Linked DNA regions of Saccharomyces cerevisiae S288C. The gene in region 1 interacts genetically with each later gene. Each region holds a gene or a part of one and is shown in the gene's direction. Other genes may lie near its edges. The genes, in order: GIM3, EAF3 and PAC1.

Region 1 (3,048 bases):
TGATGGCATTGAAAGATATTCCGATAAATATTTGAAAAAAAGGAAAATAGGTATTTCTATTGATGATCATCCGTATAATTTGAACCTCTTTCCCAATGAATTGTACAATGTAATGGGGATCAACAAGAAAAAATTATTGGCAATCTCCAAGTTTAATAATGCCGATGATGTTTTTACTGGTACAGGTTTACAAGATGAAAACATCGGACTATCCATGCTGGCAAAGTTAAAGGAGTTGGCAGAAGATGTGGATGATGCGTCGACGGGTGATGGGGCAGCAAAAGGAAGTAAAACAGGCGAAGGAGAAGATGATGATTTGGCGGATGATGATTTCGAAGAAGATGAAGACGAAGAAGATGATGATGATTATAATGCTGAAAAGTATTTCAACAATGGTGACGATGATGATTACGGTGATGAAGAGGATCCAAATGAAGAGGCCGCCTTTTAGTTGAAAATTTATACCGCTTTACCATATTTTTGGATATTCTTCAAAGCAGAATTTGTACAATTAGCATTTTTCTTTATGGTTTAGATCGGCGGTGAGGGCGCAACAGATTTATGTATACATATTGAAATAATAAAATTTAAAAAAGAAAAAATCTTGGTAAACATTAAAAATCTTAATTCTATTTAAATATTAGTATTACAATAACAGCATGTTTCTCTTGTCATTAGCTGAGCCTTGGAGGTGGTCTTTTTCTTGTAGGAGACATCGAATTCTTCCTCGAATTAAAATTGGAATTCGAAGTAGTCGGTAGAGGTGGTAGTTTTGGAGAATTCAGGCCTGATGGATGAGGATGTGAGTTAGGCGAAGAGGAATCTAGGCGTGAGGGTCTATCTCTTCTTACTAACGGCGTATTGCGCGAACTTGAATAATTGGACATATCATCTCTGGTCGGTATAGGAGGTAAGGGCGGTTGGTTATAGTTGTGGGAGACTCTATGGCTGGAAGAATAAAATGCGTCATTTTCGTCGTCATCGTCATCATCTTCGTCGTAAGACAACGAAGTTACACCAATAGCCTTTTGAAGTGCCTCAATATCTACCTTGTTAGATTCATTTTGGCAGTTGTTTGTTGAACTATCAGGATTCTTAAATATATTTATCTTCTCCTTTAATTTCCTTAAATTGGCAAAATGGAATTTTGTATTCGAAGTGTTTGATATAGCAGTATCATTAGTTTCTAATGTAGACGTTGTACCCATGGATGCTGAAAAAGTTGGAGGTAAAATTATTGGGTCATTACTATTTGCCAATACCGCTGTATCTGATTTAGATGACATGGAGAAAACATTGCCATTTCTGTAGGGCTGTCCCTCATCCTTATCCTCGTGACTTGTGCTAACACACTGGGGAGTAATCTGTCTCATCGTAGAACCATGAACATAGTCATACTCTGATTCTGTTGGCAATGGTGGTATCGGCCTCATAGCCATAGATGAATCCAACCTGTCCATTTCTTTGTTAAGATCGTCCCTGTTTAAACGAGGTACTTTGGGAGTGAAAGTCAACTCAATGAATATAGTGCCAGCAAATTCATCCCCACTTCTTTTCAGTTCGTACCAGGTACAATAACCCTCCTTCGGGTCTGCTCTAATAGCATTTAAAAGGTCTATTTCACATCTTCCAATTGGCAGCGGAGATTTTTTCCTTCTATCGCAGTAAACTTCGACGTACATTAAAGGCTTTATCTCTGGAGTAATATCAAATTTTTCTAAATAATGGAAAACAGGGTTTTGACCTGCTCGATGTAGAGTGTTGCTGGCTCTTGTCATATGAGCTATTCGCAACCTAAGCATTACATTTTGCTTGTCCAGTTTATTCAAATTAGGCAAGTCTCTAGCTTTGCTCACATATACGGAGAGGATTCCTTGGTTTCCATTCCATACTTCTTCGGACATTCGACAGTGACTCAACGAGTTAACCCAATTCCAGTTGTGAAACCTAAGGTCTCCGAATTCTCTCGTACTATTAACATACCTTTCTATGTTTTTATCTAAATCATATGAGGAACGCTAGGCCGTCATTCATGATCAGCAGAGGCGGCTTTTCATACAATTTTACAGGAAGCTAAGTACTTAGAGGACTTATGCTCTGTTTGGTCCTGCGGAAACTACCAGAATACACAACGCCAAGAAACTAACAGAGGACCATTATGGAACTGTTACCACAGGGACAAAGGAACAACACTCAGGTAACGTTCGAAGATCAGCAAAAGATCAACGAGTTTTCGAAGTTGATTATGCGTAAGGACGCCATTGCGCAGGAATTGAGTTTACAGAGGGAGGAGAAGGAGTACCTCGATGATGTGTCTCTAGAAATTGAATTGATTGACGAAGATGAGCCCGTGCAATACAAGGTGGGCGACCTCTTTATCTTCATGAAACAGAGCAAAGTTACCGCACAGCTCGAAAAAGACGCAGAACGTCTCGACAACAAAATAGAGACTTTAGAGGACAAGCAAAGAGACATTGATTCCCGTCTTGATGCTCTGAAGGCGATCCTGTATGCTAAATTTGGTGATAATATCAACCTTGAACGTTAGAACACTCATTAAAGTGTGGGCTGTGGGTGTCTCCACAAAATGAGTAATGAAAAATTTTTAATTTTTTCAGGAGGGAAATTAAAGAAAAGTAAAGAACATGATAATAAAAAGCAAGTTTAAGTTATTGTGTATGAGATAGAGTTTTTTTTGTATACCTTTGTAATCCGCATATATTCCTAAGTACCTTTTTTTTCAGACAGAAAAAAAGAGTTTCTTTACGGAAATTACTTCTTTCGTTTGATATTGTTTTTCTCTTTCGAGATTTAAGAACGTGGTTGTGTTTCGTGTTTCTGTGCAGATCATATTAGAAAGTTTTTTTCTCCATTTTGATAGACAAAACTTGTTGTTTCTACTGAACACAGCATATAAGCCAAGAAAATAGTTTTCCAAAAATGTCTCAAGTGCAAAGTCCTTTGACAGCAACGAACTCTGGTTTAGCTGTCAATAATAACACAATGAACTCACAAATGCCTAACCGTAGCAATGTTAGATTGGTCAAT
Region 2 (3,758 bases), on another chromosome or scaffold:
CCCAATGCCCTACCTCTAGGCAATATCGTGGCCTTGTATAGCGGGGTAGCACCATTGGTGTATTTGGCCATAATGGCATGTCCAGCCTCGTGGAAAGCAGTGGCCTTTCTGGCTGCATCTGTTAAGACCATAGTCTTTCTCTCAGCACCCATCAATATCTTATCCTTAGCCCACTCGAAGTGGGACATATCAACGGAAACAGCATTTTTTTGACACGCGTAAACTGCTGCTTGGTTGACTAAATTTGCCAGCTCAGCGCCTGATAAACCGGGGGTACCACGCGCAATAATAGTTGGATCCACATTGTCTGCCAATGTAATCTTCTTCATGTGATGCTTTAAAATATCAGCACGACCACGAACATCTGGCAAATCCACATTCACAACCTTATCAAATCTACCTGGTCTAGTTAACGCCTTATCTAAAGCCTCAGGGAAATTTGTGGCACCAATAATAATAATTCCACTTGTTTGTGAGAAACCATCTAATTCGACCAATAACTGATTCAACGTTTGTTTGGCGTAAGCTTGGTCCTTTGGATTACGCTTACCACCGATGGCATCTAATTCATCAATAAAAATAATAGCTGGTGCACGAGAACGCGCTTGAGCAAACAAATCACGGATACGTTTAGCACCAACACCGACGTAAACTTCATCAAATTCAGAACCTGACATAAAGAAAAAATCTACACCAGCCTCTCCGGCAGTGGCCCTAGCCAACAAAGTTTTACCTGTACCAGGAGGTCCAGTCAACAGTACACCCTTTGGTAGTTTACCACCCAAGGACTCGTACTTAGTTGGATCTTTCAGGAAATCAACAATTTCTTCCAATTCCGCACGGGCCTCATCACAACCGCAGACATCATCAAATTTAACATTTGTCTTAGCTACATCAACTGATTTGTCGGCTACTTCTGACGACTTTAGTAGCGTTGTATTTTCTGTGATGTATTTAAAACCTTCAGAAAAAGAGTAGGTTAAGATACCGAAAACAAGCAGCCACTTTACCCATCTCGATACAACAGTAAAAGTTGATTCAGATACGACAACATGTAGTGGCTCTTTGCGAGATCCATAAAGCGGAGAATACATCGATGGAAAGTTACCATGATAACCTGACTGGTTTGATGAAGATGACGCCAATGATGGGTTAACTGCGCCAGCAGAGCTGGCTGTCAGTAGGTTTTGTCTAACGGCATCAGCCTCCGAGTGTCTGCCTATCCTCTGCAGGGCCTCCATGTACAGTTCCATGCATTCAGGCGATGACGCAATACCGGGGGTCTCAAACCTAGAGACCACGTATTGCGGGTAGTTTGATTGTAAGAGAAGTTTGTAAAAGGCTGCTTGTGCATCAGGACTCGTTAAGTCTTTATTGGCCTCTTGTTCTCTAGTTGCTAGCATAGCATGTGACACAGCTACGTTCGCTTGTTTGGTTTTATCATTAGTGTTCGATGGAGGTGGTGGTTGCGAATTGTCGATTGAAGATATCGTGGATTTATTGGATGCCTTTCCAGAGCTATCAGCTTCCTTCTTAGGAGGCATTTCACCGCTATTCTTTTCAGAATAAAAACGGTAGAACTTCTTTGATCTTAAGGCCCATTTTTTTTGAACTAACAAAGAAGCACCGATTTGAGGTAGCCTGGGAGCAAATATGCGTAAAACATTTGTCGTGACCGTGGGCGACACAAGTATTTTTGAAACGTTCATCTATCACGTCTCTGTTTTCGTTCTATCCACAATGTATTATAATTAAAAATTGCTTCAATAAAATCCTGTTTATCCTTTAAGCTGTGCTTGCTTTTTACTTATCAAAAACGCAAGGTAGAGATTTAACTCACTTCACCAACTCCGATATATTGCCTTTTCACTACCGCTACAGCGTACAGGAGCTACCACTCCTCGAAGAAAGAGGTACCATGTGATTCGAGATTACTAACCAACCGATGCTGATAGAAAAAGGTGGCGAAGATTGGGGGCCGTTCCTCCGGCGATCGCCACATATCGCATTTCACGAAAGATGAAAATAAAGATGCATCCGAAATCCCGACCAGAAACGTAAAAGGGTATATTGCAAAACAGTCGTTAAAAGCATATAGCATTTTGCATTAGCATCTGTGAGGCCTCGTCACTGGATTTACCCTATTGAAGAACGTATAATGGTTGATTTGGAGCAGGAATTTGCGCTCGGTGGGCGGTGTCTGGCATTCCATGGTCCTCTTATGTATGAAGCAAAGATCTTGAAAATATGGGATCCATCTTCGAAAATGTATACCAGCATTCCTAATGACAAGCCAGGTGGTAGTTCACAAGCAACTAAGGAAATAAAGCCACAAAAGCTGGGAGAAGATGAAAGCATTCCAGAAGAGATCATTAATGGGAAGTGTTTTTTCATACATTACCAAGGCTGGAAGTCGAGTTGGGATGAGTGGGTTGGATATGATAGGATACGGGCCTACAATGAAGAGAATATTGCCATGAAAAAAAGACTGGCGAACGAGGCGAAAGAAGCTAAGAAATCGTTACTGGAACAGCAGAAAAAAAAGAAGCTCTCCACTAGTCTGGGAGGGCCTAGTAATGGTGGAAAAAGAAAGGGAGACAGCCGCTCGAATGCTAGTATAAGTAAGAGCACTTCACAGAGTTTTTTAACATCTTCAGTGAGCGGCAGGAAAAGCGGAAGAAGTTCCGCTAATTCCCTCCATCCTGGCAGCTCTTTGCGCTCGTCATCCGACCAAAATGGGAATGATGACCGCAGAAGATCTTCTTCGCTATCGCCAAATATGCTACATCATATTGCCGGCTATCCAACCCCCAAGATTTCCCTTCAAATTCCCATAAAATTGAAGAGCGTGTTAGTCGACGATTGGGAATACGTAACGAAGGACAAAAAAATTTGCAGACTACCCGCTGATGTGACGGTAGAGATGGTACTGAATAAATACGAACATGAAGTGAGTCAAGAATTGGAATCGCCAGGGTCCCAGTCACAGTTGAGCGAATACTGTGCCGGTCTCAAGTTGTATTTTGACAAGTGCCTGGGTAATATGCTTTTATATAGGTTGGAACGGCTGCAATATGACGAACTTCTGAAAAAATCATCGAAGGATCAAAAGCCACTAGTACCAATTAGAATTTATGGGGCTATCCATCTGTTAAGGTTGATAAGTGTTTTACCAGAGCTGATCTCGTCTACTACAATGGATCTACAAAGCTGTCAGCTTTTAATCAAACAAACCGAAGACTTCTTGGTTTGGTTGTTGATGCATGTGGACGAATACTTCAATGACAAGGATCCAAATAGAAGTGACGATGCTCTGTATGTAAATACGTCTAGCCAATACGAAGGAGTGGCTTTAGGTATGTGAGACGTTTATATTCTAGCTTGGGATTATTTCTAGTATTTAGTTCTTCCGTATTTATGCAATAACTCTTCACAGAATATCTCGTGTAAGAATATGGACACTGTTCGTGGCACTTTACGAAATTCAAGTTTATTCTCTTTGCAAGGTTCTTAGGGTAATGGCAGCTCTGAAAGGGGCTTGTCGAGTTAAAACATCATTAATGATTATATTTTATTTTTGTTATTTTTCTGACGTATCCATCGTTTCGCATCTAGTATGAGCTTACTAAGAGCTTCGTATATAATGTACTATCATCTTCACTTACTCGTTTGCACACTACCAAGTTCTGTCCAGGGCTCCTTGTTTTATATTTTTAGTGTAATTGCATGGTCTATGCAACATGATTAAAGCAGCATCA
Region 3 (3,699 bases), on another chromosome or scaffold:
GTGGTTGTGGTAGATTTCATGGAATCTGTAGATTTCTCGCTTCTTAGTGAGTCATTACTTTGTTTTCTACCAATGAAGTTTAAGAAAGATTTAGAACTTCTGATCAACTGTGGCGGGTTATTAGACGAATTTTCACGGTCATGATGATGGTCATTATGATGACCATGGAATGGGTTTCTCGACAATAGATTAGGCATCTTTATACGAGAAATAGTTCTACCGTATTATTATAATTATTAGTGTTATTATTTTTGTTTTCGATCAATTCTAGCGGAGCTACAATGTGGTAGTCAAACGCTGCTATTGTATTTAATTCCGGCTCGAGACCAGTCTGGAAAGTCGACGTATATCGTTACTACTATCCTTTTTTTATTATTCCTACTATTTCCTTATTGAAAAAGTGGAAAACTGTTAAATCTGGAAATTCTTCACGATTCTAGAAAAATAGGAGGTGAAGAAGATTTCTAAGCTTTTTGAAAAAAACGGGAAAAGGAAGAGGCCCAAAAAAGTGAAAAAAAACTGTGTGTGTGAAATGTAAACGAACTTTGCTCCCTCTAGGAAAAACTTCTTTAAGCGGTTGGGAACTGTCTTGGGCTTACTTGTTTGTAAACAGTTGTATGAATGATTCTATATGCTAATTCTCAGTTTGTCTCTCTTAAAGATTTGTCACTCTGAAATATATAGCCAAATAGAACTAGGCGAAGAAAAAGAAAAGGGGCGGCGACGACGTAGGGGTCAGGTAGAAGAGTTGGGCACTTATTGGCGATATAAAAGACAAAATACACTAATGCAAGAGTATGGTGAGCGAAAGGAAAATAAAGAAAGGCTACGTTATTGACGGATATATGAATCAAGACACAAGACTATTTTGTATAGTAAGCAGAACCGGCTTGTGTTTGTGATTCATGGATCAACGAGACGGTAGCGAATAAGCACCAACGGAAAAAAAGAAAACATACGCATACATGCACGTACAAGATAAAAAAAGCACAGGTGTGGTGGTAGTATTGGGATAACCAGGCACACGCTACTGCGAGATAGCAAAAGACCCTTCCCGTAAACCGCTCGGATAAACCGATTTTGTCCTTTAGCGTGACACGGATTATACGCGGGGATCCGGCGTCACAAGCCACGGCCCGTCCCGTCCGCGTGGTTTTTAATTCTGGCTCCGCGTAGTACATTTTGTAGCTTGCCTTTTTTCCGGCTTCTAGAAAACTGGAAAAACCATAAGAAAAAAATGGGAAGGGGAAAACAAAAACCATTCAGGTCTTGCGTGCCGAGAATTTTTTTTTTCTCTTTTTCGTTGTCAACTTTTGCAGTAGCAGCCGCTGGCGACCCGGACGGTAGCCATGGCAACGGTTAGCTAATGGTAGGTAAATAAAACGAGTAACGACGTTTTAGTATATCTTGGTAAACTACAATTAGATCTTAAAACGGTTCCTGAAAAAGTGCTTTCATCTACCATTGAATTTAATTCACTTCCCTTTATGGAATTTGCACTGGTTTTGTGCTGTGGGATGTGGGTGTTTTGAAATATTTTCAGCTTGCAAGTCGTGCATATTGCACTTGTTTCTTATTTTTGGCGAGTGTAAACGTAATAGGTAATCTTAGTATTGGGCCATCGTCGCCCAGATAGCCATTGATAAAGCAGCTAGGTTCGTCGTCCGGTTGTTGGTATACACCTGTGCGTGCGTAAGTGTAGAAAAAAATAGAAATGACTAACTGGCAGCAACAGCTTCCTTTAACAGATACACAGAAAAATGAACTCGATAAAAGTGTCCTCCGATATTTGAATTGGAATTACAAACAAACTGTACGACATGAGCATGCTCAAGATTACGAAAGTGTTCGACATGCAATTGTAACTCTATCAGGTTTTCTGTTGCAAGAATCAGTGGACCGGCAAGAATTCATCAGTAACAATGACACCAGTAACGAAAGTATGGTAGACATTGATGAATTACTGCTACCGAAGAAGTGGAACTCAATTGTTAGACTACAAAAAAAAATCATTGAATTGGAGCAGAATACAGAGACCCTTGTATCTCAGATTAAAGATTTGAACACTCAAGTGTCAGAACTAGCACAATTCAAACCTACCACCAGTAACGGCACCAGCGCACATAATGTTTTGAAATGGATACCGAGAAATCTACCAAGCTGTTTAATTAATGTTGAATCATCTGTCACTTCCGTCAAACTACATCCCAATTTGCCTATAGTGTTTGTGGCCACAGATCATGGCAAATTATACGCATTTGATTTATTTAACTACACCATCCCTCTGGCATCCTTGCAAAGTCATACCAAGGCAATTACCTCCATGGATGTTTTATTTACCAATTATACGAACTCCAGCAAGAAGAACTATTTGGTGATCGTTACCGCGTCTAAAGATTTGCAGATTCATGTTTTCAAGTGGGTCTCCGAGGAATGCAAGTTCCAACAAATTAGGTCTTTATTGGGCCATGAGCATATTGTCTCTGCGGTAAAAATCTGGCAGAAAAATAATGATGTCCATATAGCGTCCTGTTCCAGAGATCAAACTGTTAAAATTTGGGACTTCCACAATGGTTGGTCGTTGAAAACATTTCAGCCTCATTCCCAATGGGTTCGTTCCATAGACGTTCTAGGCGATTACATCATCTCTGGTTCACATGACACTACATTAAGGTTAACACATTGGCCATCAGGTAATGGTCTTAGTGTTGGCACGGGTCATGAATTTCCCATAGAGAAAGTTAAATTTATTCATTTCATCGAAGACTCTCCGGAGATAAGGTTTAGAACACCATCAACGGATCGATATAAGAATTGGGGGATGCAATATTGTGTCTCAGCGTCAAGAGATAGAACGATAAAAATCTGGGAGATACCTCTACCTACGTTAATGGCCCATAGAGCACCCATACCGAATCCTACAGATTCAAATTTCAGATGTGTTCTTACGTTGAAGGGGCATCTTTCGTGGGTTAGAGATATTAGTATTCGAGGCCAATACTTGTTTTCTTGTGCTGATGATAAATCTGTCAGATGTTGGGATCTGAACACGGGGCAGTGCTTACACGTTTGGGAAAAGTTGCATACAGGATTTGTCAACTGTTTAGACCTGGATGTGGATTTCGATTCTAACGTTACCCCAAGGCAAATGATGGTCACTGGTGGATTGGATTGCAAGTCTAACGTTTTCATGAGATAAGTTTGGCTTTCCTATTTCTTTTTCCCTTTTTTTTGACTCTTTTTAAGCATTGGTTGATACTTTAAATACTTTATTGAATTAGCATTGATAGTATATAATAAGGTTTACTCACTATATAGTAGCATCATTTATTATTTAATGAAGTACTTAAATGTTTCGCTTTTTTTAAAAGTCCTCAAAATTTAGCTTGAAGCGGAAGAGCTTGCACTAGCAACAGCGACTTCCATGTCTTTATACTCAAATGCGAATGGTTCGTATGGTAAACCTTCACCCACGAAAAACTTGGACATAGATTCAACCCAGTGCAAACGTAAGGAATGAAGCATGGCAGATGTACCTTCCATCAAAACAAGAACTGCACATGTTAGTGCGAACCACATGGCAAAAAGTGCAACCGTCATAAACACACCCACAAATCCTCTAAATCCAAAGGCAATTTGAATTGTCATTGTCCATAAAACACTAGACAATTGAGCATGTGCCAATGATAAGGCCCATAA

Evidence for each region.
Region 2: mutations in GIM3 (region 1) and EAF3 together harm fitness more than expected from each alone (negative genetic interaction), as found in Saccharomyces cerevisiae (5 studies listed by BioGRID, with this or other methods).
Region 3: mutations in GIM3 (region 1) and PAC1 together harm fitness more than expected from each alone (negative genetic interaction), as found in Saccharomyces cerevisiae (6 studies listed by BioGRID, with this or other methods).

Annotation. Positions count from the first base shown.
Region 1 is NC_001146.8:345,169-348,216, reverse strand, and holds GIM3 (tubulin-binding prefolding complex subunit GIM3), read left to right. Parts: upstream 1-2,158; coding exon 2,159-2,548; downstream 2,549-3,048. Other genes in the region: RPC31 (DNA-directed RNA polymerase III subunit C31), read left to right, coding at 1-451; INN1 (Inn1p), read right to left, coding at 675-1,904; serine/threonine protein kinase YCK2, read left to right, coding at 2,941-3,048. UniProt on the Saccharomyces cerevisiae protein: Binds specifically to cytosolic chaperonin (c-CPN) and transfers target proteins to it. Binds to nascent polypeptide chain and promotes folding in an environment in which there are many competing pathways for nonnative proteins.
Region 2 is NC_001148.4:608,432-612,189, reverse strand, and holds EAF3 (Eaf3p), read left to right. Parts: upstream 1-2,158; coding exon 2,159-3,364; downstream 3,365-3,758. Other genes in the region: i-AAA protease YME1, read right to left, coding at 1-1,709. UniProt on the Saccharomyces cerevisiae protein: Component of the NuA4 histone acetyltransferase complex which is involved in transcriptional activation of selected genes principally by acetylation of nucleosomal histone H4 and H2A. The NuA4 complex is also involved in DNA repair.
Region 3 is NC_001147.6:824,671-828,369, forward strand, and holds PAC1 (Pac1p), read left to right. Parts: upstream 1-1,714; coding exon 1,715-3,199; downstream 3,200-3,699. Other genes in the region: putative serine/threonine protein kinase HRK1, read right to left, coding at 1-197; YOR268C (uncharacterized protein), read right to left, coding at 864-1,262; VPH1 (H(+)-transporting V0 sector ATPase subunit a), read right to left, coding at 3,382-3,699.